Zea mays: one gene and its partner. The protein of the gene in region 1 interacts with the protein of each later gene in a pairwise test. Links are inferred from orthologs where the notes say so. Each region holds a gene or a part of one and is shown on either strand. Other genes may lie near its edges.

The links.
Region 2: the proteins of Ubiquitin domain-containing protein DSK2a (region 1) and peroxisome assembly factor 1 interact in binary tests that used the Arabidopsis thaliana proteins (3 or more experiments, as listed by UniProt). The link is inferred for Zea mays from reciprocal best matches to the Arabidopsis thaliana genes AT2G17190 and TED3.

Annotation. Positions count from the first base shown.
Region 1 is NC_050104.1:158,047,955-158,051,974, forward strand, and holds the start of Ubiquitin domain-containing protein DSK2a, read right to left. Parts: upstream 2,812-4,020; 5' UTR 2,668-2,811; coding exon 2,442-2,667; intron 117-2,441; coding exon 1-116. UniProt on the Arabidopsis thaliana protein: Binds and presumably selects ubiquitin-conjugates for destruction. Prefers multiubiquitin chains rather than single ubiquitins, with a binding affinity for 'Lys-48'-linked ubiquitin chains.
Region 2 is NC_050096.1:176,258,530-176,262,829, reverse strand, and holds the start of peroxisome assembly factor 1, read right to left. Parts: upstream 2,801-4,300; 5' UTR 2,668-2,800; intron 2,635-2,667; exon of another isoform or gene 2,540-2,634; 5' UTR 2,520-2,539; coding exon 2,406-2,519; intron 1,679-2,405; coding exon 1,565-1,678; intron 1,456-1,564; coding exon 1,299-1,455; intron 623-1,298; coding exon 486-622; intron 397-485; coding exon 296-396; intron 1-295. UniProt on the Arabidopsis thaliana protein: E3 ubiquitin-protein ligase component of a retrotranslocation channel required for peroxisome organization by mediating export of the PEX5 receptor from peroxisomes to the cytosol, thereby promoting PEX5 recycling.

The DNA.
Region 1 (4,020 bases):
TGCCGGGGAACTGGCAGGAGCAGCAGTGGTAGGTTCTTGGTTGGCTGCAGGTGCAGTAGATGTTGGTGATAGCACAGCACCACGTACCATGTGGATTGTATGGTCTGTCTCCACACCTTTAAAAAGATACAATATAAGGTCACAAGGGATAACAAAAACAGAATAAGGGAGCACTGCTTGGTGAAGCTCCTAAATCAGGCAACAGCTTGCCAAATCAAAATATAAAAAATGCTACGATTCAGACACGAAAGTGTTTCCATCGCCAAACTAACAAAATTCAGAAGTTCCTTTGCAAGTGAGATCAAAATCTATAGGTGTAAATAAAAACACAAAAAAAAAACATAATAAAATCCCCACTGTTGATATTTGATGTTCTACCAAAGAACTCAGTTATGCATCATAAACAAATTTAAGTTTCATGTTTGGCTAGTACTATTTGGCAAGTGGTAACAGTCTACCTCAGCTTTGACAAATGAGGATTCTACAAAAGATTCAAACTGCTGGTTTACTGAACATGAATTGCTGGTGAATCAGAAATGCAACATGAAAACCCTACATAATCTATTGTGTTAGCAAAAAAAACAACAGTATGTCTGATGTACAAGATCAAACGCTTCTAAACCTGCTGTATGAAACATAGACAAGTTCTCTCTATATATCAGAAGTTTTAAATGTTGTCATTGAGAGCGCAATTTATAACAGTAACATCAAGACAAACCATTTAAATATGATCAGGTATTTGTGGGTGCAGATAAAAATAGGTTGTGTACAAAAAGTTTCGATGGGCATAGATCAAATTTGTAAAGCATTGAGGCTGTGATATCTTTCAGATATATCTTTTCCATTTCATATTGAACCATTCTGTTTACGGAGATTGAACACGTGAATAATGCCCCCTAAATAGAAAGAATAGTTCGTGTTTGCATCTAAAGGGTGTTTGGTTTCTAGGGACTAATTTTTAGTCCCTCTATATTATTCCATTTTAGTCCCTAAATTGCCAAATACGGAAACTAAAAATCTATTAGTTTCCGTATTTGGCAATTTAGGGACACTAAAATGGAATAAAATGGAGGGACTAAAAATTAGTCCCTAGAAACCAAACACCCCTTAAAATACATCAAAAGTAAGGCTAATGCTTACCGCTGACATGTGGTCACGATAAAAAGCGTTGACAAGAAGCGTTTGTTACCAATGCAAGGCCCTTTTTGAATGTACTAGAGCTAATAGTTAACTGCTAAAATTAGCTAGACATCCAAACAACCCAACTAATAGTTAGCTATTAGCTACTTTTAGGGGGTGTTTGAATGCACTAGAGATAATAGTTAGTGGCTAAAACTAGCTAAAGACATCCAAACACCCTATCTAATAGTTCAACTATTAGCTATTTTTAGTAATTAGCTAGTAGTTAGCTAACTATTTGTTAGCTAGCTAATTCTACTAGTATATTTTTAGCTAACTATTAGCTCTAGTGCATTCAAACACCCTCTTAGTTTGAGACATCCAAACACCCCAGCTAGTAGTCCAGGTAACTATTAGCTACATTCTCAACTACCCATTAGTTGCTAGTTGGTTCAACCCAGCTAAAATTAGCTAATAGTTAGCCAACTATTTGTTAGGGGGTGTTTGAATGCACTAGAGCTAATTGTTAGCGGCTAAAATTAGCCGGAGACATCCAAACACCCTAGCTAATAGTTCAGCTATTAGCTATTCTTAGTAAAGTAGGTAATAGTTAGTTAGCTATTTATTAGTTAGCTAATTTCACTAGTAACTTTTTAGCCAACTAACATTAGCTCTAGTGCATTCAAACACCCGTTTAGTTAGCTAATACTAGCAACTTTTTAGCCAGCTAACTATTAGCCCTAATGCATTCAAATGGGGCCTTAAACTATGAGTAAGAACTCAAAATAGAAATGTTGATCCTTCCAAGTCACAGATCACTAAGATGCCACCGTGGTATCAGCATATATACATTATGGAATGCAGAAGTTGCAGTCACCTGCTGACAAACTCTACTACCCTAACCAGTAACCACGCAGCAAGGGTGCAGTATACACATGGCTTCAGCATATTCAGAACTACATTTATGCCAAGGAATCTAAGCAGCACGTAGTTCTCTCCTACTGCGTCTTTGCTATTGTAAACTGCCAACCAACGTGCGAGCCTGCGCTAAGTAGTAGTACACACTGCACCTACCACGGAGCATTCCGAATGTACGGAATCATCCATGACCATCATCGCCAAGGAGCAAACCTCCTTGTCTTTCCGGCAGCAAATATATTAACAGACATTGCATCTAGTACACAAGCAAGGGAGAATCTAAAGTGCAACATCGCAGGCCGCACGCATGACTAACCAAATCGACCACAGCCCACAGCGTAACACGGGAAACCACACACCACCAAGGGTAGAGCACTCTCAGGATGATAGGGGAAAGCACGCACCGTAGCTGGCTAGGGTTTGCTCGTCCTTCAAGATCCGGCCCTTGTAGATCAGCCGCTGCTGCGGCGCCGGCACGTCGCAGCTGTGGGCGACGATCGCCTTAAACGCCCCGACGGTGGCGCCCAGGTCGGTCCGCACGGTGAACTTGGAGCCGTTGGTGCACCGGATGTGGAGCGTGGCCTGCGCGTCCGCGGGCTCGCCGCCGGCGTCGGCGTCCCCTCCGCCCATGCCCTGGCCCTAGGATCGATCCGCCCGGGGCGGCTGCCTCGTGGCTCCGATTCGGCTCTCGGCGCGCGTCAAGCGCGTGCGACGCGGCGGAGAGGGAGGTGGAGGACTCGTGGTCGTGGCCCCCTTCGGCTCGCTATTTTGGAGTTCGTGCGCTGGGGGTGTCGGTCACGTGCCTGCCGTGTGCGAGGATGAAGAAGGCAACGCACCCGGCACCACACAAGGACAGGCCACACGGGACGGGACGGGACGGATGAATAATGACGTTGGTGGGGAGACGGACGATAACTGCGCGACAGTGATGGATGGCCGTGATTCCTTGCGTGCTGTCAGCTGTGGGTAGGCTAGACATCGGGTCGTCGACGTGATGGCTTGTTATTATAACGAGCTAAAAGATTTACTCGGCTCGACTCGTTTGGCAGGTCAATAAGCTTATGAGCCAGTGGATATTAAAACAACCACAAACATGAGCATTCATATAATTATATTATAAAATAGAAATTGGCTTATTCAATCAAACAAACAAAAAATTACATGCTTCTAGTCATAAAAACAAGAAATTTTGTGTCAACATGTCACGGGTGGCCGGCGACGAGGGATTGGAGGAAGAAGAGATGCCCGCGGGCCATATATGTGACTTGAAAGGGAGAGGTTTGACCGTCGGTGACCGGAAGCGGAACCGTGGCACGGACGAAAAGACGGTGGAAGGGGTGCAAGGTTGCCGGAGCTGCAGTCCATGGGGTGCCGAGGTTGGCGCGTGTAGCGGTCCACCGTGGCACCATCCGCAGAAGAGCGAGTCCCTTGGGGGCGTTTGGTTACTTGTATGGGTGAGCCTGACTCGTATCTAGTGAGCCTGGCTCAGACTGGACTGGCTGAGTGCATGCAGTATAGCGTGTTTGGTTGTGTGTATGTGGCCAGTCTGGTTCACAAGAGATGTTGTTTGGTTGCTTGCATGAGTACATGGTGCATGAGTTAAAAAAATTGTTAAATAAATTAAAAAATCTATTAATAGACACTAATTATATGGTAAATTGCTTAATAGATACTAATTACATGTTAATATACACTAATTATATATTAATCTTAATCAAGTAATTTTTTTATTTGAAATATATATAGTATGAGTGGTCTAGTTTCGTTCGCAAAAATGTCAGGAACGCGGATATGAAATCGGTTCGGTGATTAAATCTTTTAATTAGACGATATAATGAAAAAACCAATTAAAAACGTGTCTCGATATGCGTGCACGAGTAAAGAGCTGGCTGAGCGGAGCCTGGCCGCGCGCGTGCGGCCGCGCGATGCGTTTCTGCCGGGCCTGGCTCGCGGCGCTTTAAGTTTCGTGCTAGCCTGTCTCGT
Region 2 (4,300 bases), on another chromosome or scaffold:
TCATATAAATTTCATAATAACTACAAATTGAACAGGATGATAATCTATTAAAAAAGAGCAGCTTTCGATTTTCCCACAAATCATGCTGATCTAGCTCATTCAAATACACTGTCATTGGTCAATTTCCTATCAGTGGACAGTATATGCTGCACATGTTGGCAATATTTAATCTCCAGATAGATAGTTAACTTTGCTAAACTAGGCACCACCGGCTACAGCCATGATAATTAATGATAATTTCTACCATCCTCATGATACAAGAAAGGACCATAATTAAACAGGAATAGGAAGGTACCTTCCACCATAAAGAAACAATAATAGGTTAAAGAATGAAGCAGCCCTATAAAATACTTCAGCATTCCGCATCAACGCCCAAGCACGGCGAGCTAGTGGTCTCTACATCATGAAATAGAAAAATTAATATTAAGTTATACTAAAACCAGTGAACTATAATTGTAAGTTTTCAGGAAGGAGTCAGGGTTAACCTGTTCAGAATCGCCCCATCGACGGAAAGCAGAAAAAGATTGTAATCGTGACCATACATATTGGCCACCAACAAAGCTAATACAATAAAATATCTTTTGAGAAACAGAAAGCCCAGGTCCTTCCAAACCTGTTCTAACTGAAAAGCAAATGGAACCCATTAGATGTTGCTCAGATAATACTCATCTACATATCAGTAGCCAACAACACAAAGCGGTAGCAAATAAACTCCTGGGAATGTTACAAATGAGCTAATGTGTATAAGATTACAAAGGCGTGATCCAGTTCAATTGCAGAGTTAACTTCAACTTTTGCTTTTATAAAGGCAATGAGAATGCCTATAGCATGCAATGCAAAAAAAAAGCTCCAACCAAGCTGTAATTTGATGTGTTCATGTAAATATGATAAGGGGAGCAAAAGGGTGCATATTGAGGGGAAGAGACACTTGAACATAAGAGGATGGACATAGATGAAGAAAACTTTAGACAAGAGAATGCAGATGGTTAGCCATTTTCATTGTTTGAACATAAAGGATACATTGTGACAGTCCTATCTTTTATGTAGATGGTGGAAGACATGAATACTAAGGAGCATATCCATAAACAAAGAATATTAAACATATGCAACTTTTTTACAATAATAAAGATACTCAACTAATCATGAGTAATAACGAACTAACAGATTATGAGATAAACTAGTAACTTTCTAATTGTGTGCAGCAGTAAGAAAAACAATGCAGTGATGCACATCCTAGTTCCTATGCCCCCTGGTAGTGGCTGTCAGAAAAATATTGAAATAAACTTTGATAGAGATACCTTCTTTTCCAGTGATGGGTGCTGCCCGCTCATCTCTGTACCTCAGGTTCATCAGTGCATTGCCAGGGGTAGGCTTGTCAGCCCAAATTGAGAACCTCCAGATGAGGAACTCAAGGAAAGCATCAAGTTCAGGCTCATATTGGAATAAGAGTCCTGGCTGATATGAAAAGAAGGCATCAAAACTGAAAGCAACAGTTAGCAGCACACTTAAGTTCTATGCAAGCCTCAAACAACACAAAAATCAGCAAAGTTAATAAAGCAAGCACCTTCATCAAAGAGAACACTTTGACTAGCTGCTCTTTCAACATGGCCGACATCTCAACATCTAGCCTTGCAGCATCAAACTGGTTCACCCTAGATATTGAAATCGGGATAATGACCTGCGTAAGAAAAAAAATGGCATTACATCCCAAATTAAGGGGGTGTTTGGTTCCTTTAGTCACCCTACTAAACTTTAGGGACTAAACTATAGTCCCTATAAATCCTATTTGGAAGAGCTATTTTACTCACCCTGTTTGCTATTTGCCTATTTTAGGGACTAAAAGTTCTAAAGTTTAGTAGTTGGGAACCAAACACCCCCTAAGTGCGCTAGGTGCCTGCAACTGCAAGCATCATGCTTGTTCTCAGGGCCTGCAACTGCAAGCATCATTGTCTTGCCTAGTTCTCGATTTGCCTAGACTTGAAGAAATCCTGGGTCCGCCACTGCCTGTTCTGACAGACAATCGCAAAACTTGTTTTACTTAAGAACCTCTAAGCCTTTTCATGTTAGTAAAATGAAGAACCAGGAGCCAGCAGCAACACCAGAATTAACAACCATCATAATTCACAACTAAATAATGCCTCCGAGTGCTTGAGACATTCCATACCTATCTACATAAGCAAAACCATACCCAGAACAGAAAATCTAGCGACAATTAGCAATAATCAAATTAGTTGACCTCGCCCTCGGGGAAACTAAAATCCCATATGCTTGCGAGGGATTTCGAGTCTCCATCTCCAGCACCTCACATCACGTAGAACTTAGAAATTATGTGGCATCTCAAAGCGCTACCATACAGCAGAACAAACCCTAGGATGGGAGAAAACAGGGGCATCTGTAGACTGTACCTTGGAGGAATCCCGCAGCGACTCCCACTGCGGGAGGCGACTGCCGAGCTCGACGAGCCATGCGTCCTGCGGCGGCGGCGCCTCCGAGGCAGTGGCCGACTCGACCTGGGGCATGGGGGGCAGGGGCGCATCCACTGTTTGGAGGGGTGAAATTGTAATTACTGGGTATAATATGCATGTAACGGTTGCGAATCGGAAAGTGTAGATTTAGATTTGGGGTGCCTCGGTTCCGCACAGGGAAGCGAAAGGAGTGGGGGCGTACCTGGTGGTCTGGTGGATGCTCGCCACCGGTGAAGGGGCCGGCCGACGAAGACCCGCGCCGCTCACCCAGCCTGCGGCTGCGTTGCTCTGGTTTTTTCTTTTTCCCTTTTTTACACGGCCTTTTTTTTTGTGGGGTTGGGTGCGGGGTGGGGGGGTGCATGTTGTCTGCCTCAAAAAAAACTGTTGAAAAAAGGGAATCTGTTGAGGGCATAAGGGAATCTGTTTGAGAACTATATTTTTTTCCAAGTGATTTCTATTTTTTTAAAATATAAACTAATTTTTTTGGAAAAATAGAATTTCGTTGAGAAAATAGATTTTCTAAATTAGCCCTGATAAGATTATCCAATAAGACCATGGGCACGAAATATAATGAGACATATGGTATTCTAATTTATCTATCATGTATGTTTACAAATTCTTCAACAAAGAAGACATTCCTTGGGCATCTCTCACGTGGGGAAGCTATTATGGCCCTGTTTGGTACAGCTGCTGCTTGTTGAAAAAGCAGCTTATCTGATAAGCTGGTAAAAAGCAGCTTCTGCTTATTGCTTTTAGTTCATTTGGAGAAGCAGCTGAACTGATAAGCTGCTGCAGAAGCTATCTGTTTGGCAGAACTTCGGCTTAAATTTGTGAATAAGCTGAAAATAAGTTGTGCCAAACAGGGCCTATAGCACAAGTAAATTCCCAACCCAGTCTTAACAGAATCTTGGCCCTGTTCGGCACCATAGGAATTTTATGGGGCTGTATTTTTTTCATATATGGTTTGGATGAATCAAGCTTTCCACCCAATCCATTGAGGAATTCAATCCCTAAACTCAATCAACAAATATTTGTTCGTTTATTCCATAATAATCTGAAAACTGAAAACTGAATAACACTATCTAAAAACTGAAAACTGAATAACGCTATCTCAAAACTGAAAACTGAATAAACCCAATCAACAAACAAGCTGAAAACTGCAGTCTGAATAACGCTATCTTTTTTTGACAAAGTAGAGACGAGCACATGTCTGCACAATCTTAAACAACTGAAGAAACAAGTTGAAAACTGCACAGTCTGCACAAGTCGAAGAAACAGTCTCTACATGCACATGCAAGCTTCAGACCACACACACTACAAGCTAAGCCTTATTGACTGAAACTGAATAAACTGAATAAACAGCCTGCATAGACTGAAGATGTGACTTTACTTTCTCTTTCTCTAGAAATATTGATAATATCTTTATCCTTGGACCCTGGAACACCATGAGACAAATATGTACTACTTATTAAGAAGGTAAGAGTAGTCTGCCTCCCTTACGTTCTGCCGTTCTGCCGATCCTCAATCTCCACCGTCCATCCCACATCGTTGTTTTGCGTGCGTCGCCCGTCAGCCGTCGTGCGTGCGTCGCCTCCCGTCTGCCCCTTCCCCGTCCACGCGAAGCTCCCTCTGCCCCCTCCCGTTCGCAGTTCTCCTCCGCACGCTGGCAACCGCTCCCTCCCTCCGCCTCCACCTCCGCCGTCGGGCGCACCCTCTCCCTCGCTCTGGACCTCCCCAAGACTCCGTTCCCACGCCTCGCTGGACCTGCCATCACCGCCGCCTTGTTGGGCACGAAACCCTAGCGGCGCTTGCCGCCCCTGGATACCGCATCCCGC